Linked DNA regions of Lytechinus pictus. The protein of the gene in region 1 purifies or fractionates together with the protein of each later gene. This does not show direct contact. Links are inferred from orthologs where the notes say so. Each region holds a gene or a part of one and is shown on either strand. Other genes may lie near its edges.

The links. The genes of interacting proteins can lie anywhere in the genome.
Region 2: the proteins of U2 small nuclear ribonucleoprotein A'-like (region 1) and PHD finger-like domain-containing protein 5A purify together in Homo sapiens (affinity purification with mass spectrometry; 4 studies listed by BioGRID and IntAct, with this or other methods). This does not show direct contact. The link is inferred for Lytechinus pictus from reciprocal best matches to the Homo sapiens genes SNRPA1 and PHF5A.
Region 3: the proteins of U2 small nuclear ribonucleoprotein A'-like (region 1) and pre-mRNA-processing factor 17-like purify together in Homo sapiens (affinity purification with mass spectrometry; 3 studies listed by BioGRID and IntAct, counting the BioPlex papers as one, with this or other methods). This does not show direct contact. The link is inferred for Lytechinus pictus from reciprocal best matches to the Homo sapiens genes SNRPA1 and CDC40.

Annotation. Positions count from the first base shown.
Region 1 is NC_087255.1:19,989,071-19,996,077, forward strand, and holds the start of U2 small nuclear ribonucleoprotein A'-like, read right to left. Parts: upstream 3,103-7,007; 5' UTR 2,929-3,102; intron 1-2,928. UniProt on the Homo sapiens protein: Involved in pre-mRNA splicing as component of the spliceosome. Associated with sn-RNP U2, where it contributes to the binding of stem loop IV of U2 snRNA.
Region 2 is NC_087254.1:7,084,631-7,092,551, forward strand, and holds the start of PHD finger-like domain-containing protein 5A, read right to left. Parts: upstream 3,104-7,921; 5' UTR 3,053-3,103; coding exon 3,001-3,052; intron 1-3,000. Other genes in the region: E3 ubiquitin-protein ligase MGRN1-like, read right to left, coding at 7,715-7,921.
Region 3 is NC_087248.1:12,677,682-12,685,724, reverse strand, and holds the start of pre-mRNA-processing factor 17-like, read right to left. Parts: upstream 3,104-8,043; 5' UTR 3,063-3,103; coding exon 2,877-3,062; intron 1-2,876. UniProt on the Homo sapiens protein: Required for pre-mRNA splicing as component of the activated spliceosome. Plays an important role in embryonic brain development; this function does not require proline isomerization.

The DNA of each region.
Region 1 (7,007 bases):
AAGCATATTAAATTATTACAATCTTAAAGCTCTACACCAGGGAAAATCAATATAGAAAAAATAAAAATGTATATATATATATATATATATCTACACAAAAAAAAGGCAGAGCCTATAGAGGCTATACGACACTGCCAAGCTTCAAGTTTAGTTCACTCTCTCACTCAGTCAAGCTCAGCTCTTTGACTGTGCACGCCCACTTCCATTGGGGATTCGGGCTGAATCCCACCCCGCCAGTTTAGGCGGCCGAGCTACGTAGAATTGCGATGAAGAGCAGCGGACCGTTCATCGGTTGTTCGCTTCTTACGACCAGAGAGAAAAGGTGAAAAACTTAAAGAAAATCGTGCAATACTCCAAATTTTATCCTTTTGATGAGAAAATGGAGTTAATGGAATACAAGAAAGTCCATCTTCTGCGATAAAAGTGGTAACTTGAGGAGAAATTATCACAAAATCAAGTCAGTTGTTGAGCGGGGCCGAGCCGAGCACCTACACAGTTAATACACACGCGCCTATGGGAATCGCGAGCTGTCGAAAAACGCCTAAAATTACACTTTTTTATTTATTTCAGCGAAAAAAAAGTAATAGAAAGTGAAGAACATTACCATCAGACCATATCTCTAGAAAATCTTTACAAGAAATTTCGAAATGACGGAAAAATAGACTCAAATTTGTGGGGAAAAAATCACGAAACGGGTGAGACAACTCGGCCCACGGTCCGAGTTGTCCCGTGGTCCGAGTTGTCCCTGAGTATAGCATTTTGCTGTCGATCTAATATAAATATTTCATTTTTTGAGCTTGAGTTTTTGTTTAAATCTCCACACAAACTTTGGTCCGCGAAGTTAGGTCACACTTTTTCAGAACGGTTTTTCAGCACAGCGCGCATTCGCCGATCGGAATAGAATTTTGACATCGCTATACCAGCGTAACCCTTTGACCTACTTTACATTTTCGTCCATGATTTTATAGTTTACGATCTTGCCGTCAATGTGGTAACTATTTCTTGAATTGGCTTTGTATGAATTATGAATATTTTGTGAACAAATTTAAGCCTAATAAATATTTTTGAAAAGTCCGCGAAGTTTGGACACCCCATCATACTAGCTACTGTACTGGCACTGCTAGCTGCTGCTAATGGTGGCTGCATGATAGCGAGCTGTCTGCAGTAGAGGCGCACGGCCAATATTGGAGACTGTCTCCAATGTGGGAGATAATATCAGAGACTTTTGTAAAGAATTTGGGTATCCAATTTCAGAGACAGTCTCCAGTTTTGGAGACCAATTTCCTTTGTTTACATTTGCTGCAAAAGGATTACCTTGGCGGCAAATAAAAATGTGATAAGATAAGCAGATTCCTCATGAAAAATTACCCCTTTTCACCGTCTACTTTAAAAATTCACCGTCTACTTTTGTTTTGATTTGGATTTTTGTTGTCAATCACACACAAAACAAATGGGCTTCTGACCTCGGGAAATTTACCCCGATCAGAAAATACCAGGTACTTTGGCGGTGTGAAAGCAAACTACGCGTAATATCCCCGAAAGAAAATACCCGATAAATAGTAGGTACTTGGCGAAATTACGAGAACTTTCGCGGGGATTTTTCCAAGGTCGTGGGTATTTTGGCGGTCTGAAAGCAAATTACGGGAACTTTTAGCCCAGCGTGTCGTTGGGTGCGGCGCCGTGCATGGGTTGCTGCTGGGCTAGTGATTTTGAATTTCGCGCCTTGCTGCTTATCAGACCATACTGCGCATGCTCGTAACTTCAGGAACTTATCCCGAAGGCGAAGGGTATGTTTCAGGGCGGTGTGAATGCAGGAATAATTAATGGGTATTTTTCAGCCTAAAAAAGTTATCGTAATTTAACAGGGATTCTTGTGATCGAGGCGGTTTGAAACCACCTAGTGAGACAAAATTTTGGGTGGAAAAAATTGTGCTTTTGTTGGTGTTGTTTCTTTTGTCAGTAGAGGCGCACGGCCAATATGGGAGACTCTCTCCAATAGGGGAGACAATCTCCCACATTGGAGACTTGCTTTGCAAAAGGACAAAAGAAACAACACCAACAAAAGCATGATTTTTTCCACCCAAAATTTTGTCTCACTGAGGTCAGAAGCCCATTTGTTTTGTGTGTGATTGACAACAAAAATCCTTATCAAAACAAAAGTAGACGGTGAATATTTAATGTAGACGGTGAAAAGGGGTAATTTTTCATGAGGAATCTGCTTATCACATTTTTATTTGCCGCCAAGATAATCCTTTTGCAGCAAATGTAAACAAAGGAAATTGGACTCCAAAACTGGAGACTGTCTCTGAAATTGGATACCCAAATTCTTTACAAAAGTCTCTCATGTTGGAGATAATCTCCCACATTGGAGACAGTCTCCAATATTGGCCGTGCGCCTCTACTGTTTGTCCTTTTGCAAAGCAAGTCTCGAATGTGGGAGATTGTCTCCCCTATTAGTATTGGAGAGAGTCTCCCATATTGGCCGTGCGCCTCTACTGGTCTGTGTAAGAGGAGAAATTTAAAAAAAATAATGTTAAAAAACTCGAAACAGACGGCTGCCAGCTGTCTCGGAGCCTCCTGGGGAGCGTTTCATGAAAGGACTTGTCTGACGTTTTATCCGACAAGTCCCATTTTATCCGCCAGTTACCATAGGAACAGTGCCTTTCAGCCAGTCAACATGCAGGGAAAGATGTCAGATCTGACAACTTGTCGGATGAAAATGATTGAACACTCCCCTGGCTAGCCATCCATGGCATGGCCATGGCGCAGCGCGCAGCTGCAACCAGCAGAATTCACCGCCGCATCGCGGGGTCTCTAGTCTAGGTCCCCGGAGCGCCGGGGCAGGAGGCAATGAGACTACCGTTCACTCGCCCTCACACTCACACAGACTCAAACTGAACAGCAGTTTACAATCGACGATTTACTTACCACGGAGATCAATTTCTCTATCCCTCACAGGATTCAGGTACTGTGCTGCCTGATCAATCAATTCCGGTGTTAATTTAACCATTTTACAGATCTGTTTTACTTCAGTGAACACAATTTAATCACATAAAAAACACGTTTCAAAGACGCCGTTTCAGGAATTGTCGAAAGTGACTTAATGCAGATCCCGCGTGCATTCGGACATTGTTAAAAAAACGCAGAAGATACGAATAATACGAAAAAAAATCTATTGTGATAACAAAATAAACGTTTAGTTTGTTGGACCGACATGCCCGGCCCCCACCCCAGAAAACACAAACAAACAAAAAAATATAACAGAATAACTGAGAAATACAGAAAGTATAAATACTTAAAATTAAATGAGATACCGGGTACATATACAGGCAGAAGAAAAGGAACAATCACAAGTCTTAATTTTGTAGATTTTTTTTTGTACGGGCCGGCAAGTCAGACCTACCGTATATTCTCTTTATAAGGCAAGCATAATGAAAATTTGACCTTGCATGAAAACAAAACCATTTTCATGTGTAAATAGGTTTTGATATGTCTTCACCATTTATTTTTCACTTAGCTTCATCTCATCCGACCCCCGCCCCCCCCCCCCCCCCCCCCCCCCCCTCTTGATCCCTCGACACTCATGCTATTCCGATGGTGGATGTGCATGAAGCCGCTGTGAAAAAAAAACCTAGAAGTTTCAGGAATATGGAGAAATTTACAGGAAATCATTTCCTTTGATGAAATTTAACGAGGCAGGCCGGTACATGCATGGATCCAGGGGCAGACACTGGCAGGAGGTGTGCATGGCATGGGCGCCCTATGAGCCGCCTAGCTATGAGGCAATTAAGAAAAAAAAAGAAAAGAGAAGAACCCAAAATAGAGGCGCCACTTAGACACTCGAACGCGGAGTTTGTGCAGTTATGTCCCAAATTGGCACAAAATCTATTAAAACAAGGATTTTTGTACCCCAGATATATTTATTTGTTTATTTCATGTAGTTTTTCTTGGGGGTATATATATATAGGCTTTAATGAAGAAGCAATTATATAGCTAGTGGAGGTCATGAGTGAGAGCTATTGACTCCGGCCAGCGTTTTTCAGTTCTTGGCATCCGGCTGTCTGGAGGCTACCCCGTGAAATGGGGACAAACCCAGATTTAAAGGGGAATTAAGTTCACCCTGATAATAGCAGAAATTAGTGAAGCGCTAGATGAAAATCGATCAAATGATAAAAGATTTATAGATTTGGATTTTGTGACGTCACATACAAGCAGTTCCTCCATAATGACACATGAAAAAATTAAACATGATTTTATTTGTGCGATGGATTTCTCATCAGACAAATATCATTTCACGGGCCTTTATGAATATAACAATATTCTTCATATTCCTTTGAAAATGGAAGTGATATTACATGATATAAGCTGCTCACATAATCGTGTCACAAATTAAAAACGTCATATTCCATGGTTTTCATCAAACCTTCGCAAATATTTTTCTAAAATTTGCTGCTTTTAATATCAGCTTATCTTCAGGGTGAACTTCCCCTTTGATGTGTTAGCCAACTACCAACTGACACCTCCATTCAGCCCTTCATAATGTAGGATTGTTAATTTGTCATTTACCTATTTTGTTTATTTCCTTTGACTTGTGTTTCCTTCAGGTGTTTTACATTTCTGTTCTGTCTAGACTTTAGTTCATTTGCATTTCTTTTCAGTACTGCCCTTGCAGTCTGGACTTGGGTTATTTGAGTTTAATGATATTCAGTTGTCATTCATTCATTCTACTCTGAATGCCTTTCCTGTGTTTCTCTTGTCATCTTCATTCCTTCTCTATTCTCTCTTCAGGTGTTCCACCCATTCCATCCCTCACCCGACTCCTTAGTTTCTACTTCCATTATTACATAATCACCAGACATATCTCATCTCATTCCTTATTGGTTCATCTTATGAATTGGGTTCTTACATTTTAGTTCGATCATGGACCTATGAAGAGATGGACATTCATCGCTTAGATAATGAATTCACTAACAGGTGACGGTAATTGTCATCTGAATAACATTCTCTTCATACTAGTCTTCTTTGGTCCTATGATCGTCACCGTGAGAAGGGACTGAATTAGTTCGTTATTGGACATTTATATTTCACAAATTATATGCGCAGTTGATAGAAAATCAATGAAATAATGGATAATCGATGTGCAGTTTTTGTTTACCTTTGTTAATCTTAGTTCCATGTGTTTTATTTGGGGAAATGTCTGCATATTTTAATATAGAGGCAATATTGTGATTGATTGTTTACCATTTAAAATTCAATTTTCCCAAGTTTCTCCATAATATTCCAGATATACGTGGCACATAACATGTGTAGATCGTGTATCTTTCAATGTTATTGAGGTCCTTATGTGTGAGCGGTAGTTAGCGGATCGAATAATATAATATTTTATATCATAAAAATCGCCTGCTTCTCAAGTTTGCTGATCCATATATGAAGCAAATTGACTGAAAGGCACATACTGAAACAGGGGATCAGCCAACAAAAGTCAAGACCGGGAAACTGTTCCGTCTTTGAGTGATCAGATACCCTTGGTATACATAGTCATGGTAATTGCTATTGTTACAACACCTGTATGTTCTCATTAAAATGCGCATAACCAGGTGACGGTGACTATCATTGGGTCAAAGAAATGCTCGCGTTAATCGTCCATCTTTTCATAGGTCCATGGTTCGATCCTTCCATTTTCTTTAGTTTGATTGGTTATTTCTAATTTAAATATTTATGTAAATTATACTGTGATCCAAAGTTAAGCTGAGGCAAAATAGCCCAGATATTAAACAGTGTACAACCAGACTCCTTCGGTTTAAGTTCTCTTCATTTTGCCGCGTCTGCTTCATTCCCCTTCAGTTTGATGATTTAGAACTTCATTTATTTTCAACTCCAAACATATAATTTTCTTGAACCCTACAATAATCTCTCTCTCTTTCGTAGGCTGTATGTATCTATCCATCTCTCTCCTTCTTTTTGTATGTCTATCTCTCTCTCTCACTATCTCATTTTTTCTTTTATTTTATTTTCTCACTCTTAACTCTCTCTCCATCTTGCTACCCATCCACCCTCTCCCCCCTCACTGTTCCTCCCATATTCCACAAACACCATAACATACATACATTTTTCTCAGTTACATAAGTACACAACATAGGAAACTATTAGATGCAAACTAGTATACAAACTTTAGTGTCTTTATAATAGCATATATATTTCAACCAATATGTTTTTTTTATTGGAATGCATTTAAAAAGGCAGCTCATAATGAAAGACTATAATTGCATCCAGCCAGTCTATTTCAAATACATCATCTAAAAAAAAAAAAAATTATTTAAAAAACCTCCAAGTTAAGCTTTTGTAAGGATCATGGGTGTCGATCAGTATTCTTGGTTGGGGGGATGATGACACAAAAGTTCTTGTGGATGGGGATCTTTCAACATTACCCCCACTAAAATCACAAGTTAGGACATTTGGGAGTGATTGATATGCATGGTGTTCTTGGAAATTCCTTCATTGTTGTAGTGTACTGTACTTATATAATTTTTTTTAAAATTCAATTTGTGTTACAAGTAAGCCTATTCTAAACTCATACGAAAGAAAAAATGACAAAAATTATCTGGAACATGTACATAGTGATCTGTGGATTGAGCATGATGTATACACAGGGGCATCGATCCATTTTTCAGATTGGGGGGGGGGGGCAAAATCATGAATCAACGTTCCAAAGACGCTCGATCATATAAAACGAACAAACTCACCCACACACCCCCACACATAGGCCTATATTTTATATATATATATATGAATCATAAGAGACACATATCTCAACCTCACCAACAATGCGAGCGCGAAGCGCGAGCTGAAAATTTTTAGTACGACATGAAAACAGGAAAAATGTACCTGTTTAGGTTTGCTTGTAGTAACTCATGAGGAGCATAGATACATGTATCTCACTAGAGAGCGAGCTAAAATTTCTTTATATTCTGACGTGAAAGCTTGATATGCTAAGCACTTTTGGTACC
Region 2 (7,921 bases), on another chromosome or scaffold:
AGAAAGCAAGACAGAAAGAAAGAAAGAAAGAAAGAAAGAAAGAAAGAACGAAAAAGAAAAAGAAAGAATAAAAGAAAGGAAGGAAGGAAGGAAAGAAGGAAGGAAGAAAAAAAAAAGGGTAAAGAAAGGATAGATGTGAAGGAAGGGAAAAAAAGAAAGAACTAAAGAAGGAAAGGAAGGAAGGAATAAAGAAGGAACAAAAATAAGAAAGAAAGAAAGAAAGAAAATAAAAAAGAAATGAAGGAAAGAAATGAAGCAAGCAATACAGAAAGAAAGAACAAATCCAGAAAGTAGTAAAGGAAAGAAAGAAGCAATAAAAAAGAAAGGGTAAAAAGAGAGATGGAAAGAAGGACAAAAGAAAGAAAGAGAGGAAGGAAGGATTGAAAGAAGGGAAAAAGGAATTAAGGAAGAAATAAAGGAAAGGTAAAATGATAGACAGAAGGAAAGAAATAAAGGAAGGAAGGGAAGGAAAGAAGCAAGCAATATAAGAAAATAAAAGGTAAAAGAAAAGATGAAAGGGAGAAAAAAAGAAAGACTGAGAGACAAAGAAAGGAAGGAATGAAAGAATAAAGGAGAGAAAGGAAGCAAGCAGTCAAAAAAGAAAAGGTAAAAGGACAGATTTAACAAAGGGAAAAAGGAAAGAACAAGACAGATAGAAGGAAGGAATGAATGTAAGAGAGAGAGGGCTGAAAGAAGGAAGAAATAAAAAAAACAAGAAAGGGTAAATAAATGATGGATGGATGGAAGGAAGAAAGAAACAAAGAAAGTAACAAAGAATGAAGGAAAGAAAAGGGTAAAAAGAAGGAAGGAACGAAAGGAAGAAGAGAAGAGATGAATATAGGATGGATGGACTCAAGAATTAAAGAAAGGAAAATATCACCCAAAAAAAGAAAGAAAGAAAGAAAGAGAGAGAGAAAAAAAAGAGAAATAGAGAAAAATATTTTTTGAAAGGATAGAAAGAATGTAAGAACAAATTAAAGGAAAAAAGGGGAAATTAAAAAAAGACAGTAACAAAAAAAATGAAAGAAGAGAGGGAAGAAACAAAAAAAGCTTAAAAAGAAAGAAGGAAAGAAAGATAGGAAGAAAACAGAGGAAGAAAGCTAAAACTATCAAATAATTTATCAGTTTCTTTTGGCTCAATTAAAATAGCTACGAAAGAAACCAAGTGTATCAACACACACATAAATGCATATGTGGGGCTATTATGTATTCAGACGATATCACCCGAAACCCGATCTGTTTGAACCAAAACAGAAGTGAAAATTTCTCCTTTTACTGCTTACAAATTACAGAGTTACTCCAATTTTTAGGAAATATGGACATTATAAGAGCCTTTCATGAGTATGAATCGTGAATTTTGACAGTTCTGTGAGAGATTTCTGCCAGAGTTTAGCCAAGCTTCCTTCGCGCAGCCAGTAGAGAATTTACCACGTGGGTTGTGTGGCTGGCTACATGTACACTGTATGCTACTTTAGTAACACTTACGTGCGATTCATTCTGTGTGTATTCTGTGTGTGAATGACATAATTTTACGGGGGGAAATGGTTTGCAGTGAATTTGACCATTTCTGGAAAAGTTATTGGCCCAACAATGGTTTTTATTACTGGTCATGTCGGACCCTTAAATCTTGCTATTTTTGGAAAAATTACTGGCCCGACAATGATATTTTTTACTGGTCATGTCGGACCAGTAAATCTTCCTATTTCTGAAAATCTACTAGCCCGACAGCGATTTTTACCGGTCTGGGACCGTCGGACCGGCGCTAGTGTCGAGCCCTGTATAAGTGAAAGTTTGATGAAAATCTGACTAAGGAAAACCCGAGAATTGAATTTTTAAAGTTTTGACTTAGTAAAATCACAAATGAGCAGCTCGTTTATATGTCGTATGATATAATTTCACATAAATGCTATTTCGATTATCTAAAAAAAGTTTAATTGATTTTAGTTGTGTGGCAGATATATCACCAGACAGGAAGACACATTTTATAACCTTTCTAATTCTGCAACCCCCAAAAATTATTCATCATATTCCAAAACAAAACTGAAATTTATGGAATCATATTACATGATTGGGATATCCTACTATGAAAAAAAATCATCAAACCTTCTCAATTGTTTTTTCTTTATTAAAACCAACTTGTCATCAAGATTATCAGGGTGAACTTTGTCTTTAAATACAAACTTCTTTTTAATTCATTTTTAAGAAAGTTCAGATTTGATGATCATTTTCTCAATGTCTCTGAGGCTAACCATTCACAATTTTGGGTTAAAATCATTTTGAGACCAAATCTTTCAAGGAATTTCCAGCAAGCTTAGAGTTTTTAGACAGGGCAAATTGTGTGAACTACAATACAAAAACAATAGCGAAAGAGAGGATTAAAAACACAACATCTTTATTTCATGTGTCATTGTTATCTTTTTCTTTTTCCCCTTCCACTGCTTTCTTCTAATTCCTTCTTTCTCTCTCATTCTCCTCCCTTTCATCTCATACTTTGTTTCTCGTTTCTTCCTTTCTTCCCCCCCCCCCCGTCCTTTTCTTTTCTTTCCTTTCTTCATTTCTCTTGTTTTTCTCTATTCCCCCCTTTTTTTCCCCTCTCCGTTTTAGCCTAGAGCTAGATCTAGCCTAGCTTTTTTTTTTTTTGGGGGGGGACAAGGCTTCTTCACCTCGGCCCCCTTCCTATGGACCCGCACCTGGATAGCAATCATACCATAGTCCACACCGCTTTATTTTTAGACTGGGACACGAAAGCTGAAACTGAAAGGACTGAACCTAGCGCTGCGCGCTGCCCCCACGCCGCCGCCGTAAACTGTTTATTAAACACACATCCAAAATAAAGGGATCGGACTGAAGTCATTTGAACGATGATTAAACGTTTCGGTTTCGATGGTTAATGTTGCATATTTGATAAATCTGGTAGATCTGTTGCTTTTTATTTACTACTTTGAAAATTGAAGAAGTCACCCATCCCTTGAAAATTCAAATTATCGATGGTTAACTTACCAACACCAGGCTGTTTGCGACAAAAAATTAAATCTGGATGATGCTTCGCCATGTTTCCAAATGTTGACTATATGATAATCGCCGCAGATGGCGCTAGCACTCCTTTTTGGAAGAACTTTCTTTTCCTCTTCTTTTTTCCCTTTCAGTTTATTTGGCAAGCATTAACTTCCACTCGTTCTGATTTATTTATTTTATATCTATTTCATTTTAATCATTTACCTATATGGTATTGAAAACTTTTATTGGAAAGAATTCCTTATGCAACAGCTATTCTAACCCTTCTTCTTCCGTTGAGTACAGTCCTCTTTACAGAGTATGGTATAGTCGTACTTGGCTGAGGCCGCAATCACAAAAACACATGACATTTGGTGCAGTTGAACAAAACTAAACTATAGTGCAAGTAAAAAGATAAAAGATAAAATCCTAACCCTAATATATATGTATTTTTCACTTTGGGTGGCTATCACAAATAACACCCCTTTTATCTATTTCATGTATTTTATTCCATTTTCAGGTACACATGGCATTATACTCATAACAATAGTCAATTTCAGTATATTGAAAATAATCATACAATATCCAACATACAATATCAGTGTGAAAAAAAAAAAGGGAAAGAACACCAGCTAATGCCTGGGGATTATCAAAAGACATCAAGTTTCTGATTAAAGACTCTCCTCATTAGCTGGTGCTAAAAAGAACACGAACATTAAAATACAGTTCAACAAATAACAAATAAAAATGACATTTGAAGACATAATTAATAAATGCAGGTGTAAATGAAAGAAAGGAAGGATGGACGGATGGACGAAAGAAAGAAAAAAAAAGCTGGATAAGAGTTAAAAAAAAGGAGAAATGGTGAAAGCAAAGAGAGGGTGAGAGTTTGAATGGAAAAAGAAAGAAATAGAATTAATGTAGAGGGATAATCCTTTTTTTTAATCTTTTTATTTTTTATTTTTAATATCTTTTTCATTTTCATTTTTTTTCTTATATCTTTCTAATTCCTGATTTAGTGTTTCTTTTCTAGTGTTTCTTTTTTTTCATATTGTGCTTCCCTCATTCTTTTCATTTTTTTTTTCAAAATCTAAAGGTCACTATTTATAATCTGAAATTGAGGTCATTATGCATAAAATGAAGATGGTTCATATATCAATTAAAATATATCGCATGATGAATATTGGACATCCACAAGCACACATTCACATTATCGCATATAAAAGATCAATCCCATTCCCTCAATGTGATTACTTTGTCCCATCGGGGCTTTTTATGCTATCAAGGCTACACTTACAATAAAAATCATACCATCTTATAGTGTTGTGATAATTATATGTTTATTTTATATGATCAATATGTACAAGATCAAATACATTTACAATACATTTACATTGTACTACCTACATATACTATGGATCTTCTCAAAAGGTAAATGACAGCATATACAAGAACATGGGAAGAAAACATTCATCCCTTTAAGAGTAAATAATATAAAAATATAATAGCTAATGTCCTTACTACTTGATTACAAACATGATTTAAGTATCTTCTTTTATAAATATTTAACATTTCCTTCTCTTTGAATAAAAAACATCATCATCATCGCCAGGATTTTGAAATTCAAACATTTTGAGGACAGCTCAAGAAGGATTGATTTTAGCGTTTCAGCATAGATACAGTGGCAAACTTTTATGCCTAGAAAGAGTTCTCTATAGGGATTGGGAGACAGTTTTCAGAAATTCAGACATGTGATGGTTGCTACCCTTGTAATATTTCCATAATACAGCCTTTTCTGTGCTGGCCTCAAAAACGAATTTTGCAACAGAATGTTTGAACACCCCAAATGACAGTATACTGGGGGCCGTTTCACAAAGCTGTTCATAAGTTAAGAGTGACTTTAAGAACGACTGGTGATCCTTTCTTGTGGTAAATGATATTCACCATTAAATGTTCATTGGTGATTATTTAGCGCGTAAGAAAGGATCATCAGTCGCTCTTAAAGTTACTCTTAACTCACGAACAGCTTTATGAAACATATCCACAGTGTATTATTATTATTTGTTTGGCGTCACCTGTGCCTGGGAGGCGAAAAGTGAACTGAATCACTATGACCCGCAGGTCTCTCCTGATATAACTGATTGGGGGGGAGTGCAGGTGGACCACTACACCATCTCTTCATAAGCTCAAAGGAACATCAAGATTTTTAACAAAGCAAATAAAAGCATCAGACTAACTTTTCCATGCTTTCAAAATACAAAACACTTTCAATGTACCTCTATTGTTTATGTAGAGTCCCTTGAATTTATTCGTTTGATACTATAGAGGCGTCCTAAATTTTGGAATGGGCACCTCTGTGCTTTTACTCATACAGATACCGAGACCCGTTCCCACTCTGCTTTGAGTTGTTAACCTCTACATTCATATTTTAAGTTAGCAGATAAGGAGAAACTTGTTTATTAATAGAAATATTCAGAAACTTAGTCATGACCAAGGCTGTATGCAGCATAGGGGGCAATTGCCCCCAGAAATTTTGAAAACTTACATTTTTTTTACCGGGAATTTCCACAAAATGATCTATAAGTGCACACAAAATCCTTCAATATCACTTTAGAAGATGTAAACATGCCCAAATGATAAGCTTGGTCACCTACAATCCCATAATTCTTTATGCGTCGTGTCCCACCAGGGAAAAAAAATAAATTATGTACGGCCTTGCTCAAATCTGGTCCTTTGAAACATCTCAAAAAAAGTTAAAGGCAATTTTTTTAGGTTCTATAGATAACACACACAAAACCCCCATCTTGAGGATACAAGTTATATTGACCTCAAACAAATTACTACATTATATGAAGAAGTTAATTTATGATATTAACAAATCAAATTTAGATACATGACCTTGATACGATACACCACATACATGGTTCCTGAACCCCATCATGAAAGAGGGGGGGGGGGGGGCAAACACTTACCATAATACTACATTCATAACATAAGAGGTTTGTGCCATGTTATCTCATGACACAATATCCCCCTTCCCTCTGCACAAGGGCTGACAAAAACAAAACACCTGTGATTACGATGGTGAACAAATATGGAATATGCAATAATAATCATGCTTTTTGTCATGCTTTGATAATTAAACATTAGCTGTCCCCCTTTCACGACTCATATTCTACACATAACACAGGATGCCACTCTCCAATCAATTAAAGACCTACATGGCATAACAATACATAAATACAGAAAGTAGCATATTAAAACAACATGCAACTAGATGACAGGCTTAGATACACTTGATAGTAACTTCTACGAATCTAGTATACTCAGGTGGTAACACTCAAAATTGATGAATTGCACATGTACAAGAAATGGAATTACAATTATTTTTCAAGGATAATAGAATACTAAGTAAACTAGGTGCTGGATGCATGCACAATAACTAAATCTAACTCCTGCTTAAAAAAGAGCAATACATAGATTCAAAGAACCACTAGCCTGAGCCAATGACCATTCTTCACCTGAAGAAAAAAGGGCAGGAACTGAAAAGAATAGAAAAACAAAATAGGAAAAAGGAGTCTACATGCAGTATTTGTAGTGTACTTCGACTTCCATGCATATCTTTTAATGTATTGGATGTGAAAAAATATTTAAATACATATTTTTTTTCTCATCTGTTGGTTAAACTAATCTCTCTAAAGGTCTCCGAACACCTTATGACTGGTCTATGATCCAATTTTGGAACAAATTGCATTTTTGTTTATTTTCTCAATAAGTGAATGATAAATAGGTATATACTTTCTTTAGGTTCAAAGTAAATGTAGAATACTAATATAATAACAATTTTGGATGATTGCAAGCCATTACTTTGGAGTTGAGGCCAAATTGGTTTCATATCAAGGCCGATCGAACGACTGTTAAGATGTCATTATGATTAAATATTGAATTTTCTTCTATTCTCATTAGGAAGGTAGCATTGTCACAGATTTTAAGCATAAGTATTCCTTCGAGGATTAAGAACTTTCCAAAGAAAGATGTTTCATGTCTCATTATTTGCATCTAATCTTACGTTTTATTCCAAAATGGGTCACAGACCAATCATAAGGTGTGCAGTGATCTTTACATATATGACTAATATGATACAGACAATATAACAGTTGAACATCCACACATGAGTTGATATAATACATCTTAAATACAATGAGTGGACATTACATATTCAAAATATCTTGTGCTAAAGTTGATGCAAGAACTTCAAAAGCCAGGTCATTCTTCATAGAGCTCTAACAAACTTTAAGTAATGTCATCAGGTCATCTGGTGTCACCAAATGGAATTTAGACGACAGGGTCTTCACTTGCTGTCTTGGAATCCTCAAGGAAAGAGGAAGAGGGGAAGGCCTCAAAACTCATGGCGCAGAGACATGGATGAAGATGCTAAAAGCATGGGCCACACATGGAAAGATCTGGAGACGTTGGCTCAGGTCCACTCTGCCAGGTGGATCCTTTTTGACAGGCCTGTGTCTTAGAAGGGGCAATAGGAGGGGCCAAAGGCATAAGTAAAAGTAAAGTCCTTACTGGTAGCTTCCTCTAGCTGGATATTGCTTGGGGTTAACAGCATCTGTCTCTGACTATTAGAACTGAGTGAACTATTAAGATTCACAAGGTACCTGGGGCAGTTCTAGAATCCCTAATTGGGGTTCCTGGTAGATCGATGAGCTGGTTAGACGATAGGGTCCTTACTGGCAGCCTCCTCGAGCTGGATGTTGCTTGGGGTTGACAGCATCTGTCTCTGACTGTTGGAACTTAGTGAACTGTTGACTTCCAAAGGAGTGCTTGGCGATGTGTTAGAATCACTGGTTGGGGTTCCGGGTAGATCAATGTCAACATTTAACAGGGACGGACCGTGTGAGATGGCATCGGGAGATTT
Region 3 (8,043 bases), on another chromosome or scaffold:
TAGCACGGGTAAGTATTGGGGTGTCGCCTAGAGTGCCCTAGAGTGGGATTTTGCATTGTAAGTCCCCTAGGCCACTCTAGGCGACACCCCAATACTTACCCGTGCTAATAAACTGGGACTCCACTCACGCGCGTTTGGGCCTCCCTAGCTTAGAACTAAGCACTAATATCACCTTAAAAACTAAATCTACAAGGTATGTATAATCTATTTACAAATTTAATAATGTTTAATCGGTACTCACCGGTTCTTTTGTTGCATTTTCAGACCATTTCTCACAATTCTTCGTAAATATTTGCGGCAAATTTTGTCGCCATAGACAGCTTAGCGTCCATCTTTATTGATAAATGGAGCGCCCTTTACGATAGTTGTTAATGCCGCGGAGAAATCGTTAGGCATTTTGGCCTGTGTTCAAGGCGTTCTTTCTGTTTTATTTTTATATTGAAGATTGTGCATTTGTTGAATAGCGCCGTCTACGTCAGGTATGAGATCGAGTGTATAAATACACTCTTCCAAAATAATTATGATTCCGACCTGGCGCTGTTTAACTTCAATCTCTTTCACCTAAATTAGCGATGAATGCTAGCATTATAAAATATATATTATTAACGTCTGACGAAAAGAATAACCAACCGATCAGCTGACGAGAACGCGAATCACGTGATCTTCATATCAGCTTCGATCGCGAGTCAGAAGAGAAGAGCAGCTGCCCAGAAAATCAGGAAAAAGCCGTGAAAATGTAAGTTCCCCTTCATTTCTTTCATTTTTTGTTGTTGCTAACGATGCATTTACACTATAAAATTATAATTTAAATAAGAGAAAGGAATTATAGCTTGTACTTGTGATATAATGTTTAAATATCCTGTTCTCAGAGATTTCTAACCAAAAATACTACTGATGTCGCCTATGAGGTCCATACATGTAATGTTGGACCTCATTGGTACTAGGAGTGCCCTAGGCCTAATGGTGGCTGCACGATAGCGAGCCGTCTGTGTACGAGGAGAAAATAAAAAAAATGTTTTAAAAAACTCCTCGAAACAGACGGCTGCCAGCTGTCTAACGTTACACATGCAATTAATTGACAATGTGGGATGCACGTCTTCTAACAGTAACATGTCTAAACTTCTAAGTTATTTATAGTTAGGTGGTCTGTCTATGACAGATCACCTCTTAATTTCGTCAGAATTTTCTTTCTTTATTATTTATTTTTAGCACCTATGTTTGTCGCCAACTTTTCTCCGAATTGGCTGAATCATTTTGGCTGATTTTTCTGTCATATATAGAGTCTATCATAGAGACGGCATACTAAGCTTTTCAAGGTCATCTGGTCATGATGACGTCATCTACGCGCCATTTTGTAAAATTCTCAATTTGATCATATCAACATAACGGATCATCAATAATCAACCATATTTACATCACATAAACTTTAAATCAAAGGTCATCTGTCAATGTCATCAAAGGTCATGTAAAGGTCAAGACGCGCGCGTACACGCGCGTCAAAGCCAAAAAAATTCTCCAAATGGCTTATAAATTTTTTTGGGTACGTTTCAAGTCATTTTAAGCATTTCAAAAAAATTGCGCGCATGCACGTATGCGCGCGCGTTTCCGCGCGCAACGCCATAACGCAACGCAGAAACACAGTTTTTTTTACATCATTGCATTGATGATATAATTCTGAGCAATTTGATACCTTGATCAACCTTCTATGACCATTGATAACGAAATAAACACCCGTTAAAGTTTGCAGCACGTGTGCGCGCGAGCTCTCACTACAGGCCATATATGGGCGAAAACATGCCTATTGGAAATTCACTGTAGCTCTTTAAATAGTCCGTTGACCCCCAATTTTTTTTTCAAATGTCGATAGAATATGAGTTGTAGATTTGATTTCATGTCACCATTGTCTCTCAATTTGATCATGACGTCATCAAAACTGCGTTGGAAATCAAAATATCCATTTTGCTTGTTATGACGTCATAACCATTATGCAAATTAGGCTCTAACTCCGTGAATATTAGTTAATTTTCGCCCAATTTTCGATATGTTGTAGCTTAGGTCTTACTCTTTCTGAGTTATTGCCTTTATTTTTCATTTTAATGAACGGATCATCTTGAAAAATTGCAAATAATAAAGGCATGTCATTTTTACTCATTTTGCGTGTAATCTCTATGGGACATAACTTTTTCTCAAAACTAGATTCTACATTCCTCTATTTCGTGAGCTATATCTCCATTTTCTTTTGTCAGTTGTCTCTGAGCTTTGAATATGGTGTAGCTAAGATTCTCAGCTTTCGGAAGTGTGCCCTCCATTTTTTGATCAGATACCGGGATCATGCCCGTTTTTCGCTTGCAAAGTTGGATTTGCAATTCTCAAATTTGCTTACGTGTAATCTCTATGGGAACGTGTAATCTCTATGGGGAATATCGTGGCTCAATGGATAACGCACTTGACTTGAGATCTCGGGGGCGCAGGCTCGAGTCCTGGGGGTGAACAAGGTGATTTTTTTTTCATTTTTTTTTTCTTTTTACCACCTCGTACACGATCCTTTATGGTATTCAAAAGGTATGAAAGTTAAAAATTAGCAAGATTAAACAGATTATAATTACTATTTTCATATCACATGTATTTTCATATATCAAGAGACCCTTTTCACAGTTCTTTATCATCTCCCGACTTTCGCAAGTATTCCATCCATAATGAACATTCCGTTGTCATCATGAAGATCATATTGATCTGCTTGAACATGGAAATAGTGATCATGATGGCGAGAATAAGGACAGACCACCTAATTCGTCCGCATGACGAATTAAAATCTAGTTTTATTTTATTTTTACCAACATCAAGTCAGATATATGGGACAACGTACAAATACTCACGTCACTTGTTTCGTCCACCGTTGGTGCTGCGTTCAATTGTAATTTCACTTGCAAAGATTTAATGGTCCGATCCTTCTCAAGTGGTCTGAGATGTGCCGTCGCATCTTCAGAATTGGACTCCTTATCACTAATATCTCCATCACTTTCGTCACTTCCATAAGCCTGCAAAGCTGAAATCGCTGCCATTTCTATTTGGTAGGCACTTATGATCCAAGTTTGAAAGGAGACTCGTAAAATGACGTCAGTCTCGCCGATGAATATTCATTAGATCGTGGTCGTGCGTGTTCAATACACACTGCGTGCAGGCATGCAGATATATATGCGAGGAACTTTGGCTCCAGAGACAAGTTGTCAAATAACGTGTGTGTGCGTGCGTGTGTGTACCATCGGCTGGTAGTATGCCATGCTGTCTAAGACTTCAATTACGCGTCGGAGAGAGTGCATGGCAATTCGGTAAAACGAAGTTTCCGATATAAAGAGATAATAAAATAACACTGTACAGTACGCCCGGGGGTGCCACTTACATTGACGAGTGGATACCATGCGCAACCAAAAAAACACGTAAAAAGGATGTCTTTTTCAAGAGAGGGCACGTTACGTACGTAACGTGATAAGGGTGTCAAAAACACAAAAATATTGAAAAAAGGGTATCTATTTCCAGTACGTTGAGAGGCAAATGTCAGATCAGGGGAGGCAGGAGTACAATCAGGTTTTTTTAAAGGGAAGAATAGTGTAGAATAAAAGGTATTATATATACCCAAATGATCTAGGTGAGGGAAGTGAACAATGATGTTTTTTAAAAAAAGAATGAATATACCTTACCTGAATATTATGGTGAAGCCAATTTAAAAGGAGGTGAGACAAGTTTCAATGGAGGTTTTAAAAAAGAATAAACTGTATTAAGGTGAAGCCAATTTAAAAGGAGGTGAGGCAAGTTTTAATGGAGGTTTTTTAAAAGAATAAACTGTATTATGGTGAAGCCAATTTAAAAGGAGGTGAGACAAGTTTCAATGGAGGTTTTAAAAAAGAATAAACTGTATTATGGTGAAGCCAATTTAAAAGGAGGTGATGCAAGTTTTAATGGAGGTTTTTAAAAAGAATAAACTGTATTATGGTGAAGCCAATTTAAAAGGAGGTGAGGCAAGTTTCAATGGAGGTTTTTAAAAAGAATAAACTGTACTACAAATTATGGTGAAGCCAATTTAAAAGGAGGTGAGGCAAGTTTCAATTGAGGTTTTTAAAAAGAATAAACTGTACTACAAATTTAAAAGGAGGCGAGGCAAGTTTCAATGGAGGTTTTTAAAAAAGAATAAACTGTACTACAATGGTGAAGCCAATTCAAAAGGAGGTGAGGCAAGTTTCAATGGAGGTTTTTAAAAAATAATAAACTGTACTACAAATTATGGTGAAGCCAATTTAAAATGAGGTGAGGCAAGTTTTAATGGAGGTTTTTAAAAAGAATAAATTGTATTATGGTGAAGCCAATTTAAAAGGAGGTGAGGCAAGTTTCAATGCAGGTTTTTAAAAAGAATAAACTGTACTACAAATTATGGTGAAGCCAATTTAAATTAAAGGAGGTTAAAGTTAGGATTTCCAGTTGCCCAACTGGTTTCAATTGGTTTCAACTGGAAATTGTTAAATTCCAGTTAAAACCAATTGAAACCAGTTAAAACCAATTGAAACCAATTGAAACCAGTTGGAAATCCAACTGGTTTCAATTGGATTTTGGTCCTGGGTTATGGTGAAGCCAATTTAAAAGGAGGTGAGACAAGTTTCAATGGAGGTTTTAAAAAAGAATAAACTGTATTATGGTGAAGCCAATTTAAAAGGAGGTGAGGCAAGTTTCAATGGAGGTTTTTAAAAAGAATAAACTGTATTATGGTGAAGCCAATTTAAAAGGATGTGAGGCAAGTTTCAATGGAGGTTTTTAAAAAGAATAAACTGTATTATGGTGAAGCCAATTTAAAAGGAGGTGAGGCAAGTTTCAATGGAGGTTTTTAAAAAGAATAAACTGTATTATGGTGAAGCCAATTTAAAAGGAGGTGAGGCAAGTTTCAATGGAGGTTTTTAAAAAGAATAAACTGTATTATGGTGAAGCCAGTTTAAAAGGAGGTGAGGCAAGTTTCAATGGAGGTTTTTAAAAAAGAATAAACTGTACTACAAATTTAAAAGGAGGCGACGCAAGTTTCAATAGAGGTTTTTAAAAAGAATATAAACTGTACTACAAATTTGAAAGGAGGTGAGGCAAGTTTCAATGGAGGTTTTTAAAAAGAATAAACTGTATATGGTGAAGCCAATTTAAAAGGAGGTGAGCTAGGCAAGTTTCAATGGAGGTTTTTTAAAAGAATAAACTGTATTATGGTGAAGCCAATTTAAAAGGAGGTGAGGCAAGTTTCAATGGAGGTTTTTAAAAAGAATAAACTGTATATGGTGAAGCCAATTTAAAAGGAGGTGAGGCAAGTTTCAATGGAGGTTTTTAAAAAAGAATAAACTGTACTACAAATTTAAAAGGAGGCGACGCAAGTTTCAATAGAGGTTTTTAAAAAGAATAAACTGTATTACAAATTATGGTGAAGCCAATTTAAAAGGAGGTGAGGCAATTAGTTAATGGAGGTTTTTAAAAAGAATAAACTGTATTACAAGTTATGGTGAATATAATTCAAATGATGAAGCCATCTTGAGAGGTGCATGAGGCAAGTCTACAATGAGGTTTCTAAAAACAATGAATAGTGAAGAAAAAGATCGCAATTGCTTTTAATAATCCACAAAATTGTGTAGTTATTTATTTATTTCATGCAAATTGCTATTAATTGATTATGCTCATTTGTGCATAATTAGTATACTATACCTATTCCTCTAACTCCCTAAATAAAGCTCCAAATGTTCTAATTTTTGGTTTAGAAACTCTTTGTGGTGTTCTTCGATAATGTATTTCTTGTGTTTTTACCTTTGTATTGCATTGTTTTTTTTCAACGATGCTCAGACTCTCGTAACAGCATAAAATAAATCAGTTTAGTTCAACAAAACTAAAAACAATTAGGCATTCATGAATTTTGGTTGAAAACGCATATTCCATTGACGTGGTACACAAATGTCACAATTTTGAGCCATTTTTGTCTGATATGCACTTACAAATTGTTTGGTAATTTTCAGAACCCAGTACCCGGGCTTCGCAAAACTGGTCTCAAAACATGCAAAAGACTTTTTTTTTTAAATCGCAGAGCTCAGAGCCCCCCCCCCCCTGCGTAAATAGGTTAAGTTTGCATTAATTTTGAACTTTTCCATTCCCAAATACGTAATATCCCCTCCCCAAAAATGCAATTGTCACTGAAATGGAATATACATAATATATTTTTTAATAAGCCATATTTGCAAAATAATCATCATGTCATCCTTTGTCAACAAGAAATCTGTACATGTCCTCTGGAAGAAAATAATACCTCGGCCGCCTATTAAATTCTAAGTTTTGATTTTGTAAGTATTTTACTTAGCAATTTGGCTGGCTTATCAAAATGCTTAAACTTGTATGCAGATCAGATCTCAGAATTTACCTTATCCAAATTGAACTAAATACTAATACCCATTGTGATGTTATAAATTTTGAGCCAAATAGTGCCAAATGTGTGAATGTATTTCTGTGCGTATCATTTTTGTATATGTAGACTTAAGTCTAGTAGATGGCTGACTTACATTTAAGCAAAATATTTAGCCAAAAAAAAATGCAATTGAATACCAAAGATGGATAAGTATTTTACTTTTGCAAAATACTGAGTAAAATATACTTGAAATTATGGCTTTAAGAGTAGCATTGAATACCGGCCCTGTTCCTCATCATCATTATCATCCCACTACCACACCAGTTTCTGCAGCACAAACTTTAACTTTCATAGGTTGAGTCCATTTCAAAGCCAACACTCTCACTTTAACTTTCTTTTTTCTCTTATAACACACTGCCAATCACATCCTTACAACACCAACTGTCAGAGGACAACAGAACTGCAGTTACCATAGCATTACCCCCAAAACACCACTCAATTTTGAATTGATCCAAATGAAATATGACTGTGTTGCACAAAAAAAAGCTATGTAGTCATAGTAGATTTTATTGACTTGTACATTCATAAGGCTATGCATATATTTTGAGTAATTGTTGTGTTGTCTTCAGTGATAGTTGGTACCCACTGTGCTTATGGCCAACTTTGGTAAAGGCATACATTGAATAAACTTTTATGTACTGAAAATGATGACAGAATATATTCTAAAAAAATAACATTACAAATGCATGACAGGTAATACAACATATTTCAACATGAACTATTTCACAATTTGCCAACATGACAATAAAAACTAACCTTAAAAAATAGTAGAAGCTGATGTTGGATGGAAAAGAATATTTTTGTCATACAGCTTGAAAGACATTATATATGTATGCACTTAATGGTATCTACATGATCATTAAGTTCTTCTACACAGCTTGATATAATGTTGATTTATCCAGTTTGGCAAGTACTGTTGTGGTTGAGGCAAGGTTAATGGTTTTTCTGAATACTGAACCCCATTTTGTGTAACGAAATGAAATCTACCAGAGTTACATGACAAAGTACAATAGAAGAAAATACCAACAGCTAGGCAAGCTTTTTTACATAAATCTTTTTTTTCATATACTCTTTGATATTTTTTCTCAAAACAAATGTGGCCAGCCACCCAAATATCAACAATAAGTTGCCAGGGAAGGTTCGTAGAAAATAACCAAAATAGTAATTCAGTTTTCCAAACGCATATTTAGAATATTGGTTTATCCGAAAAAAAAGAAATTTCTTCATACTGTCAAAATGTGAGGTTGTAAAAGTTGAAGACAAAATACAAGACTTTGATATCCGTGTTTTGCTCACTGCTACGTAGTTGAACTACATATTACACATCGCATGCTTAAGTGAACCCCAAATCTTGTTCTCTTATTTGTTGAAGCTCTCACCAAACTTCTTCTGCATTCAATGAAGTACTAGCGAGGGATATTATTGATCAATATTAACAAGATAAATCATTTTACAGCTTAGGATGTGATCGCTCAAGATCAATGAGAATCTTTAAATCAATGTATTTATTGTTGGTATTGGGGTGGCTGGACACATATAGCAATATATTCTCGCTGTTGGAAAAAACAAGT